3 linked regions of the Oryctolagus cuniculus genome follow. The protein of the gene in region 3 interacts with the protein of the main gene of each other region in a pairwise test. Links are inferred from orthologs where the notes say so. Each region holds a gene or a part of one and is shown on either strand. Other genes may lie near its edges. The genes, in order: LRRK2, GSK3A and LRP6.

Region 1 (4,295 bases), about 22 Mb from region 3:
GGAGGATGCTCCCAAGAGAAGCCACAGGCCTTGGGCCTGCTCACAGGCTGGCTGACGGAGTGCCGGCTTCTTACAAGTGGTAATCCAGTGGTCTGGGAAGGGAGCACCTGGTGCAAAGGGATTAGGAGGAGGGCACAGAGGGAGAACTCCTAGGGACAGCGCAGTTACTGCCTCTGCGGCCGGAAGTTCAGACAGGTTCCACGCCGATTGGAAAAGCACACACTGGAGATCTGATAAGGAGTGCAAGGCGCTGTCTGTCGCTTTTGGAAAATCTTATACAGAGAGAGAAGTACCATAGATTGCACGAACGCTTCTCTTCCCTTCAACAGGGATCAACCCACCTCTGCCTCCGCCCGTGCCAGCCCTCCCCTCCCCACGGGGGACTCTGGAGCAAACCTGAGCGCTCCGTCATTTCAACCACAAACGCTCCGGCCTGTGTGTGAAACATTCAAGGGGCATTTTCAAGGTATCCACTGGGAAAGCGAAGCCCACTCTGATTAAGGCGGGAATTGGGAAGACCTCAGTCCACCTGGGGCGAGTCCGGGCTCCCCAGTGCGCACCTGCGGGACCTCGGCTCAGCCCCACTCCCCAGCTCCAGCCCCCAGCTTCCTCTTTAGTAAAATGTAAAATGCCACCGATATGGGAACGGAGAAGCACTAACTTCCAGCCCAGCCTCTCCCTCTCTCAGGACCCCAGCCTCCACCCCCCACTCCCACCCCCGGAGGCCGCCCTGCCTTCCATCCGCAGACGCACAGGCCCACAGAGTCATTCTGGACACTGAGCAAACAGACTTGAGGTTTGGGTCTCTCACCTCTCCTTTCACTTCCCCGTCTTTCTCTCGGTTCCCACGGCGCGCAGAACCCACCCTGCCCGGCGTCCCCTCCACCACGGTGCCGCCTGCCGCAAACTCAAGCTCGCAAGTTGGTTTCTGGGGGCCTCCTGAGCCCCGGGGCTCGCGATAGCAACGGGGAAGCGCATGGTGCGTCCCCCGCCGCGGCCACGGCAGAGGGTGGCCGGGCCCTTCTCCCCGCGCACCGCTGCATCCCTGGGGCAGAGCGCATCCCCTAGCCCGAGGCCGCGATCCCGACCCGGGAGGCTGGGCCGCGTCCCCTTCGCCCAACGCCCGGATTCTATTCTTAGGTCGGCAGGCCGCCGGCTTTCGCTTTTCCTTTTTTCCAGGGCGCAGACCTCCGGCGGGCGGGCCGCGGTGGGGTCGCCGTGGGCTCCGGCCGCGCCGCCGCCACCGCTGCCTACGGGATCCGGCGCCGCCAGGGCGGGTCTCGCGGGCGTGGGCGCGCCCCAGCCGGGCCGCGGATCCACGCTTGGGCCGAGCCCCACGCAGGCCGCGGGCCCGGGGCTCGGGAGAGGGAGGCGGGCCCGGGAGAGGCAGGGCCGCGCCGGGCGGGGCCGCCTTCCCCGTGGGCGGCGCGCGCGTGCGGCCGGGGCGCGGCGGGCCTCGGAGGGCGGCGCGCGGGGCCGGCCCGGGCGCAGGAGGCCTCCTCGGGGCGCGGAGGGCGGCGGCTCGCAGCCCGAGCCACCATGGCCAGTGGCGGTGGCAGCAACCAGGGCAGCGACGAGGACGAGGAAAGTCTGAAGAAGTTGCTGGTCAAGCTGAACAACGTCCAGGAGGGCAAGCAGGTCGAGACGCTGGTGCAGACCCTGGAGGACCTGCTCGTGTTCACGTACTCGGAGCGCGGTAAGGCGGCCGCGCAAACTTTGCGCCTCGCTGCGCCCCGAACCGGTCCCGGCTCCTGCGCTCCTGCCGCCCGGCCTTCCCCGGGGCGCAGAGCGCCAGGGGCCCTGACTCTGCCTCTCCTCCCTCACCCTCTTGTCTTGCAGCCTCAAGGCTGTTTCGGGGCAAAAGCTTCCACGTGCCTCTGCTGATCGTGTTGGATTCGTATATGAGGGTCGCGAGTGTGCAGCAGGTGAGGGCGCCCCCCTACCCCACCCCGCGACTCCTTCTGCTGGGAACCCGACGTTTCCTGCCTGCCGGCGGGGAGGCCGCATCCCCGGGGCTGCTGGGCCGGGCCGGGCCGGGCCGAGCCGAGGTTTGGCCTCCGGAACCGCTGGCTGTCTTGAGGCTGGAGGCATTGTTGGGGGATCCTGAGCTTGACTTAACGGGCTGAGGGCCCGGCACGCTCCAGTCCGCTTTCCCAAGCCGCTACCCAAAGCTGGCTGCAGGGGTTGGGTGGCCGCGGGGACTGCTGTTGGCAGGAGGAGCCAGCCCCCCGTCGTGTCTGGGAGGAACCCCTCTGAACGGCTCCCCCACGTGCAGCCGCGGTCCAGACCAGACCGTCTGGGAAGGGCGAGTTTGACCAAGGGGCGCAGGGAACGGCAATCAGACGCAGTTAGGCGGCTGGAGGTCTGCGCCCTGGCTCTCCGCGGCTGCTCTTTCCAGTCTGAAGGCTTCCGCGCCTTCGTGAGATTCGGGCTGCGTTGTAGGATTTAAAGGAAGTGATGTTTGCTGATTGCCTCACCTGTTTGAGTTGGTGCTTCGCTAAGGTTTGTGACCTAAAACCTCTGTAGGAGTGAAACTTCGAGACCCTGCAGCATGGGGGAACCCAGAAAGGCGCCGAAGGCCTTCGGGGCGTTCAGGCAGGAGTCAGTGAGCCTTGAGAGTGGTTGACCCCAGGACGGTTACTCCCCAAGGTGATGACGTCCTGTGCAGCTTTTGAGATTTGGGGAACTGAGAGCAGTCCTGTGCCCCGCGGGTCAGGTCGCTGGGGGGAGGGGCCCGCGCACTGATCTGGCAGGCTGCAGCTGGGAGAATGGCAGTGTCTCTCCACCTTGGGTCTGTCTCTGTACCTGCAGCTCCTCTGCATGAGCCCTGGGCCCTGGATCTGCCTGCTTCCTATGAGAACACTTACATCTAGAGTAAATGTTTATTTTCTTTCAATGGCGAAGTGTTTGCCATCTGACAGTTGATGTTCTGTCTGCTGTCAAACCAAACCCAGAGGGAAGGGCAGGCGTGGTCAAGAGAGTCCTCATTTTAGCTCTCGAGTCTGGGTAGTTGTTAGGGGCTGGCTGATGGTGCTTGCTGCTGTCACCCACACCACCCTTCTTCCAGCATGTGCTGGGTGTTCTGGAGTCTCTCTCCCAGTTCTCTCCCCGGGATCCTGCACAGCCTTGGGTATGCACTGTGGGGAGGAGTGCTGCTCTGGGAAGCCCAAGGGAGCCAGGAACATAGTCCCTGATTGTTAATTTGAGAAACTGCCCGAGCCTGGGGTCGTTAGGCAGGTCCCTCGGGGTCTTTGCACAGAGTACCAGAGGCAAAGCGTGGTGCACAGTAAATAAGGGATGATGGACATGGCACCTTTTGATTCTCACAGGGTCTCACTGCTCGGAGAACTCCTGCTGGGTATCTTATCTAGCGGGAGCTCAGTGGACATTATGAGACTCCCTGGGGGTCTCAGAGTTGGGGGCTTGAGACTTTTCGCACCCCCAGGTTCTCTTTCCGTCTTGAGCTGCAGTAACTGCAGAATGCGTGCCAGGCACAGGCTCAGTGGTTTGACATCAGGACATCAGTTTGAATTAGGTGGTCTTATCTGAGGGATGTGGAAAGGGGCCTCTCCACGTAAAAGCAGGTTTCTCCCTCACCAGATTTTTTTGACTGTCGGCGCAGAAGACTTGAATGCTTCACCTGCTGCAAGTACATATTTAAGGAGTTAGGTGCCTGACTCTTCCAAAAGGGCTTTCTCAGAAGCCCGTTAATGTGACACTGCAGGCTCTGAGTTCTTCAGGACCTTTGTGTATTTTACGAATGCTTTAAGTAGATGACTGTTGGGAGACCTGGTAGCTAGGCCAAGTTCTCTCTCGCTGCCGTTCATTTCCTCTCTGCTCCTCAGTATTACTTTTTATCCGCACAGTCTCAGCCACTGAAAAGGGGGCGCAGAATCAATGAAAGTGGCTTACAATCTTGCTAACCTCTGCACTCCATTGTGCACTGATGAGATGCTTGGGTTTATAGGATCATTATCCTAAAGTGAAGCTACTGATGTGATTGCGCAGTAGCTGTGCAGAATAGGGGCCTTCTTCGGAAGATAAGCTTTTAATGGGCTGGATGAATGCATCGATTGTTACCTCTGCTGCTCTGCCAGAGATGGTCTTGGCTCACACACGCTCCGCCGAGCTCCTGCAAGCTCGGTGACTGCATCTTTCTGCAGAGCCGTTGTTGATGCTGCAGTTTCAACAACGAAAACAGCACAGGTTTTCTCCCTGTGTCAGCCAGGCAGGTACAGACGCGAGGTGAGCATCCTCGGTGATTCATTTTTTTCTTTTTATTCCACACCGGACAC
Region 2 (3,442 bases), on a different chromosome or scaffold from region 3:
TCCAGCTTGTGTGGAAGAGGAACTGGCTGGCAGTGAAGCATTCGAGGGGACCCCAGAGGGACCTCGGGGCCGAGACACGGGGAGCAGCTGCCTGGCTCTGTGGGCGGGCACGGGGGAGTGGGTGTGCGAGGGAGCGGTGCAGAGCCGGCCGTGTCCTGAGACTTTCTCTCTCTGTTCCCAAGAACCGAGAGCTGCAGATTATGCGTAAGCTGGACCACTGCAATATTGTGAGGCTGAGATACTTCTTCTACTCCAGTGGGGAGAAGGTGAGACCGGCGCACGGGGGCGGGGTGCTGCACCGTAGCCCCACCCATCTCTGGGCCTCCCCGCTTCCCCCCTTGCTCTCCATGTGCCGCCCCGCATCGCAGTGCCTCACCCTGCTCCTCTGCTCTCTGCAGAAGGATGAGCTTTACCTGAACCTGGTGCTGGAATACGTGCCCGAGACCGTGTACCGGGTGGCCCGCCACTTCACCAAGGCCAAACTGACCATCCCTATCATCTACGTGAAGGTAGGCGGGCGGGCGGGCGGGCGAGCTCAGGCCACAGAGCCAGGAGCCCTGGAGGGCCTGTGCCCCCCGCCCTCATCCCAAGAACCCCAAATGCAGCTCACGGGGGAGGGCCAGGTGAGGCCTGACCAGGGGTCTGAGGAGGCTGCCGGGTGCCTGCTCAGATCCGCACTGGGACGGGAGCCCAGGCAGCTTCAGGGACGTTGGGGTTAGCACCAAAGAAAGGAGTGCGGAGGGAGTGCTGCCGAGGTCAGGGTCCGGGCCTTCGGGACCGTGGGGGGTGGGGTAGGTGGCAAGGAGCTAGGGTCGGGAGGAGCTCAGTGTCCACAGAACCGGGAATGTGCCTTCGCGCCTCGTCTGCAGGCTCCCTCCCCGGTGCTCGGCACCGTGCCCTGGGTGTGGCAGATCCTCAGGAGGTGTCTGAATGAATGAACTGACGCGTGAGTGAATGAATGCAGCGCAGGGACGATGTGGAGGGCAGAGGCTGGAGCGCCCTGCTGCACTGGCAGGAGGTGGCCTGGGCCCGGTGGCCCGCGCTGCTGGCTGTGAGCGCCCTGCGCCCGCGTGAGCCGACGCGGCTCTGCCACTGCTTGTTGCTGTTGGAACTCACCTCCTGGGAGAGGAGTTCTCTGGTGGGGTGACCCTGTCCCGTGGCTGCCTGCCTACTGGCTCAGTGCTGAGCAGGCCAGAGGCTGCCAAGTGAGCCCAGTATTGCCGTGGAAAGCTCAGTTTGGTAAGGCAGACAGACGTCCCAGGAAACTTGCAAACTTACCAGCTACTGCCATGCTGGGGCAGCCCCCAGCCCAGCCTGGGTGGGGAGGAGGATTGAGGAAGGCTTCCAGGAGACCAGCGCGGGTTGAGGAAGCAGCATCTCTGGTCAAGGGGAGTGGGGACGGAGGAGGAGGGGCTTGGGAAGCAGTGTTGTGTGTGGTGGTGCCGCTGAGGCGCTGTCGGCCAGGTCCTGCTGTGGGCCCTGGGGGAAGCAACAGTGATGCAAACAGAGGTGCCTGCTCCCTTGGCACCCAGGTTCTAGCTAGTGGGAGGATGGGTGGTAGGAAAATGGAGATGGAATGGAGGCAGGTTTTTTTTTTTTTTTTTTTAAGATTTTATGCATTTATTTGAAAAGTGAAGTAACAGAATGAGAGGGAGGGACAGAGAGGAAGGTCTCCCATCCACTGGTTCACTCCCCAAATGGCAGCAGTGGCCAGAACTGGGCTGATCTGAAGGCAGGAGCCAGGAGCTTCTCTGGGTCTCCCACGCAGGTGCAGGGGCCCAAGTGCTTGGGCCATTTTCCATTGCTTTCCCAGGCCATAGCAGGGAGCTAGATCGGGAAGAGGAGCAGCTGGGACTTGAACTGGTGCCCATATGGGATGCAAGTGCTGCAGGCGGAGGATTAACCTACTGCACCACAGTGCTGGCCCCTCCTGGGTGGTTTTGATCATGACTTAAAGAATCTGAGCCCCTCTTAGAGGCAGTGGTGTGGGCGAGGAAGCCCAGGGCCTGGTTTTCCAGCCTGCTTTGTGACAGGGCTTTCTGAGTTTCTGTGTTGCTTTTTGCAAGCGAGGGCTTGTTGCCGATGCCCCATCCTGAAGTCCCAAATCAGAAACTGAGGGCACGGAGCGCAGCAGTCCCTGTTTAAACAGACCCTTTGAGTGAGGGGTTTAAGAGTGGGCTTCCCTGAGGGCAGCAGGAGAGCAGGCCCTGAGGCCAGGACAGCGGTGGTCAGCCCCGTGGGGAGAGCTGGGCCCGACGTCTCTGTCCTGCCCGCCCCAGGTGTACATGTACCAGCTGTTCCGGAGCCTGGCCTACATCCACTCCCAGGGTGTGTGTCACCGTGACATCAAGCCGCAGAACCTGCTGGTGGACCCCGACACCGCTGTCCTCAAGCTTTGCGATTTTGGCAGGTGGGCCTGGGCGGGGGTGCGCAGGGGGCTGCAGGGGCAGGGGTCCCTACACCTTGCCTCGTCTTCACCCCTGCCTGTCTCTTTCACAGCGCAAAGCAGTTGGTCCGCGGGGAGCCCAACGTGTCCTACATCTGTTCCCGCTACTACCGGGCCCCAGAGCTCATCTTCGGAGCCACCGATTACACCTCATCCATTGGTCAGTTATGGGAGGACGGAGGTGGGGAATGACAGTCTTGGCGGTATTTGGTTTTTATTTTTATTTTTAAATTTGAGGTAAACAGTGCTCCCATCCACTGGCTGGGCTGGGCCAGGCCAAAGCCAGAAGCTCGGAACTCGTCAGCGTCTCCCATATGGGTGGCAGGAACCCAATTACTTAAGCCATTACCTGCCTCCCAGGGTCTGCATTAGCAGGAAGCTGGAATCAGGAGTTGGAGTTGAGGTTGGGTATGAGACCCAGGTACTTGAATATGGGAGGGGGGCTTCTTAACCGCTAGGCTGAATGTGTGCCCCTGGGCGGTTTTTGAGCTCTTTCTCCATGCTGTGTGCCAGACTGGGTCCCTTTCACTCAGTCCTCACCATCTTGGGAAGCCAGTGCTGCTACAGGCCCATTTTACAGATGAGCAGCCTCAAGCTTAGAGCCAGGAGGCCCCTGCCGGCCACTGCACCACTGGGAGTGTGCAGGGCTGGGATCTGAAAGCTGACCTGATTCCAGAGTCCCTCCCGTCTCTGGAACCCCCTGGTCAGCTCTCCATTCTTGGCTGGCGGGGACCTTGGGGGAAGCCGGAGGTGAGACTTTGCCACCACGAGGGCATGCCTGCTTCCAGGGCCTGTATGTCCTCACCTGTTTGAGGGTGACAGTGCCACCTTTCAGGATGGGGGAAGGCCAAGAAAAGGTGGTGGGCACGAGGGTTTGACAGGCATTCATCAGCAGTGTGAGGGACTTGGTGCTTCTTAGGTATGACCTTGCGCCCTGAGGGTCAAGGTACTAGGGAGGGGTGAGAGTGCCGGGTTACAGCTCCTCCCCTGGGCGGC
Region 3 (3,643 bases):
GCACACAGGGTTCTAGTCCCGGTCCGGGCGCCGGATTCTGTCCTGGATGCCCCTCTTCCAGGCCAGCTCTCTGCTGTGGCCAGGGAGTGCAGTGGAGGATGGTCCAAGTGCTTGGGCCCTGCACCCCATGGGAGACCAGGATAAGTACCTGGCTCCTGCCATCGGATCAGCGCGGTGCTCCGGCTGCAGCGGGCCGGCCGCGGCGGCCAATGGAGGGTGACCCAACGGCAAAAGGAAGACCTTTCTCTCTGTCTCTCTCTCTCACTGTCCACTCTGCCTGTCAAAAAATTTTAAAAAAATAAAAAATAAATAAAAAAAAAAGAATATAATCCGTAACTAGGCCATGTTCCTCAAAATGGGCAATGAAGCTGTAAAGGACAATACATAAAGCTATTATTTACCCTTCAGCAGGGTCCAATGCTAGAGCTCTGGGGCTATCTAGATCTTTCCACACCAAAACCTGTCGATGTTGCCCATCCAACTTTGACACCTCAATTCGATTTGTTCCTGTGTCTGCCCAGTACAAGTTCTTCCCTAGCCAGTCCACAGCCATGCCTTCTGGATAGTCCAAGCCGAATTCTACCACATGTTCCAGTGCACTGCCATTCATGAAGGCTCTGCTGATGGTCTGCAAAAATAAAATGAACAAGTCAGTCACATGGCTTACGAATCGAGCACAATTCAGAAACAAGGTCTGAACTGCTTTCTGTTGGGAACAGGATAGTTCATAAGCACCAATGTCTCTTAACAACGTTGACAAAATTTATATGCATACATAAATATACTAATCTCTACTAAACACAACTGTGATCTCAAATTTTATTGTCAATTCAGTTGAAACTGTTAAGAACCAAAAATCAATTCTTCAAAAAAAAAAAAAAAAAAAAAAAAGGTAACAGAGTGATTCTTCTTTTAATTCTTCTTTTAGCAGTAATCAAGTGCAAAAGATCTGACCAGAATGCTGTAGACTCTTTACTGGTAGTCAGCTTTCCAAAGTATGTGAGTATGCCAAGTCATTGATTCAATCCGAGAAACTCTAAATAACCTTATAAATCGGAATAGCCATTACTATCCATTAGTACCACTAAAGCTTTGCATTCCAAAGAATTTGAAACCACCACATTTTAAGCTATTTATAACAGATGCTACTTCCTGTTGAACACGGGTTAAGTACTCTGTGCCCACAGATTTTCTCACCTAATACGCTCAACAGCCCTGCAAGACCGGCAGCACCTCAGCTGCAGAATGAAGGAACTTAGAAGGCCCCCCAGTAAAAGCCAAGATTTACTTATGTACTTCATTTATTCACTTGCTCAATAAAATTTACTAAATATGACTAGAATCCAACTCTCTGTGGGTCCTACGCCCATGCTTTTGCATATTAGATAAAAGTTTATGTACATTATCCAAACCAAGCCCGAATCACTGCAGAAGAAGAAGAGATATTCTCCAGATTCTCTGGTCAGGAACTTCCCCCTCTATCCTTGTATGTTTTTCAATATTTATTTTAGAAAGAAGAAAATAAAGATACACTATCATTTTAAAGTGGTCTTTTCTTTTAAAAAATAATGTGTTTATTTATTTGAAAGGGAGAGTGACAGTGAAAGAGGGAGAGGAGGAGAAAAGAGAGACCTTCCATCCTTTGGTTCACTCCCCCAGTGCCTGCAGCAGCCAGCCAGGGGGCTAGAGCTGTGGTATAGTGGGTAAAGCCACTGCCTGAGGCATCAGCATCCCATATGGGTGCCGGTTCAAATCCTGGCTGCTCCCAATCCAGCTCCCTGCTAATGGCCTGAGGAAGCAGCAGAAGATGGCCCAACTCCTTGGGCCCCTGCACAAATAAAGGAGACCTAGAAGAAGCTTCTAGCTCTTGCCTTTGGACAGGTCCAGCTCCGGCTATTGTGGCCATTTGGGGAGTGAACCAGCAGATCAAAGATTTCTGTCTGTCAGTCTGTCTCTAACTCTTTCAAATAAATAAATAAATCTTTAAAAACTATGCAAAACAAAACAAAAAACAGCTAGCCAGGGATGGACCACACTAAAGCCAGGAGCTAGAAACTCAATGCTGGCCTCCCAGTGGGTGGCAGAAACCCAAGAATTTGGGCCATCATGTGCTGCTTCCCAGGCACACTGGCAGAAGTTGCATCAGAAGCATAGTAGCCAGGACTCAAATGAGCATGTCACATGGGATGCTGATGTCCCAAGCAGCAGCTTAACCCACAGTACCACAACGCCTGCCCTGATAACTGGCATTAACAACCTCAGTCAGGCTCCAAAATTCTGTTTCAAATAAGTCAAGAGCCAAGCCTCTATAAGCTGTTTTATGTGAAGCATACTACTATTTACTCAGCTAATTACAGAAAACATCACTCATCATCTTCATGTGGAACAAACTAGAGGGAGATTATTTCTTGCAGATTTAGAACACTAGCAAAATATCTTGCATTAAAAGGTACCTAACGAAATACTGAATGGGCCTTTCTCGTCACTCCTTAAAAAAGTTAAAAAAGGGTTTCTGCTGAACTCTACCTAGCAAGCAATGAGGGAGATTGGTCACAGTACAAAGATTCAGACACTTTAGAAGTCCTCTTTTTAGTCACTCATTCTTTCGCTAACCTTGAGTGATATATCAGTCCAGTAAATTCGATTGTCTGTCACATCAAAATCCAAAGCAGAAGCTTCTTTGACGCCAGTGAGTGGAATGGCCACATTATTATTATTTGTTTCCAAAGAAATCCGTCTGATATCGGCTCTCCGTGAAAACAAAAGAAAAGCCTCTGGGACAATGCAGGTCTTCATGTCACTGATGAGCTCAAAGCCAATGGGGCAGGCACAGCGAAGGCCCTGAGGTCTATACAGGCAAAGATGGCTACAGCCCCCATTTTCCTCAGCACAAGGGTTCGATCCTAAAAGAGAAGGGAGTGATGAGGGGCACAAAAGCACCAACACTGACAAAAACCAACATTTTCACTTGAAAATTAGTTAGGTATCTGGTTCACAAAGACCTATGATTGTATGCATCTGCTTTCAATCTGGAGTTTCAATTCTAATCTCAAAATCAAGCAATATTAAGATTAGTCGAGAGTGAAAGTACAATGAAACACTTGCTTTTTTACCCTTAGAATGCTTTAAAATAAATTGCATTATTCATATATAGAATTAATTTTTTGATGACAGCATTCAAGTGTCTATGTATCTATTTGTAGCCATTCCAGCTGTTGAAGCCAGAGTTTGAAGTCAGCATTTAGAAGACCCCCTTCTGATAACAAAGGGGGAGGGGTTTAAACAGAAATTCTCTATTGTCTTATATCACAACATTCACAACTTACACTGTTGATTTACAGCTACCATCTCCTTCTCTCATTCCTGGTCTCTACTTCTAAGTAAATTCTGGAATCACTTACCAATGATTCGATGAACATTCGTGGCCTTCAGGCCCATGAGGTCAGGCAGCTGATCTATGATGATTTCCCTCTCTGCACTTCGCTTGTGTACTCTTTCGATGCTACGTCGTTGCCAGTCAGTCCAGTAAACGTAGTCACCCAACAGAGTGAATCCAAATATGTGAGGAATCTTGTCTTCCACCAGTACTCGTCTTCCAGTGCCATCGGTATTCATAACCTTCAAGTTTAAGTTCAGAGACAGA

The links.
Region 1: the proteins of LRP6 (region 3) and LRRK2 interact in binary tests that used the Homo sapiens proteins (3 or more experiments, as listed by UniProt). The link is inferred for Oryctolagus cuniculus from reciprocal best matches to the Homo sapiens genes LRP6 and LRRK2.
Region 2: the proteins of LRP6 (region 3) and GSK3A interact in binary tests that used the Homo sapiens proteins (3 or more experiments, as listed by UniProt). The link is inferred for Oryctolagus cuniculus from reciprocal best matches to the Homo sapiens genes LRP6 and GSK3A.

What each region holds. Positions count from the first base shown.
Region 1 is NC_091440.1:131,746,096-131,750,390, forward strand, and holds the start of LRRK2 (leucine-rich repeat serine/threonine-protein kinase 2), read left to right. Parts: upstream 1-1,437; 5' UTR 1,438-1,539; coding exon 1,540-1,696; intron 1,697-1,839; coding exon 1,840-1,925; intron 1,926-4,295. UniProt on the Homo sapiens protein: Serine/threonine-protein kinase which phosphorylates a broad range of proteins involved in multiple processes such as neuronal plasticity, innate immunity, autophagy, and vesicle trafficking.
Region 2 is NC_091449.1:12,818,416-12,821,857, reverse strand, and holds part of GSK3A (glycogen synthase kinase-3 alpha), read left to right. Parts: intron 1-182; coding exon 183-266; intron 267-398; coding exon 399-509; intron 510-2,279; coding exon 2,280-2,410; intron 2,411-2,499; coding exon 2,500-2,606; intron 2,607-3,442. UniProt on the Homo sapiens protein: Constitutively active protein kinase that acts as a negative regulator in the hormonal control of glucose homeostasis, Wnt signaling and regulation of transcription factors and microtubules, by phosphorylating and inactivating glycogen synthase (GYS1 or GYS2), CTNNB1/beta-catenin, APC and AXIN1.
Region 3 is NC_091440.1:109,799,423-109,803,065, forward strand, and holds part of LRP6 (low-density lipoprotein receptor-related protein 6), read right to left. Parts: intron 3,619-3,643; coding exon 3,402-3,618; intron 2,904-3,401; coding exon 2,614-2,903; intron 629-2,613; coding exon 402-628; intron 1-401. UniProt on the Homo sapiens protein: Component of the Wnt-Fzd-LRP5-LRP6 complex that triggers beta-catenin signaling through inducing aggregation of receptor-ligand complexes into ribosome-sized signalosomes.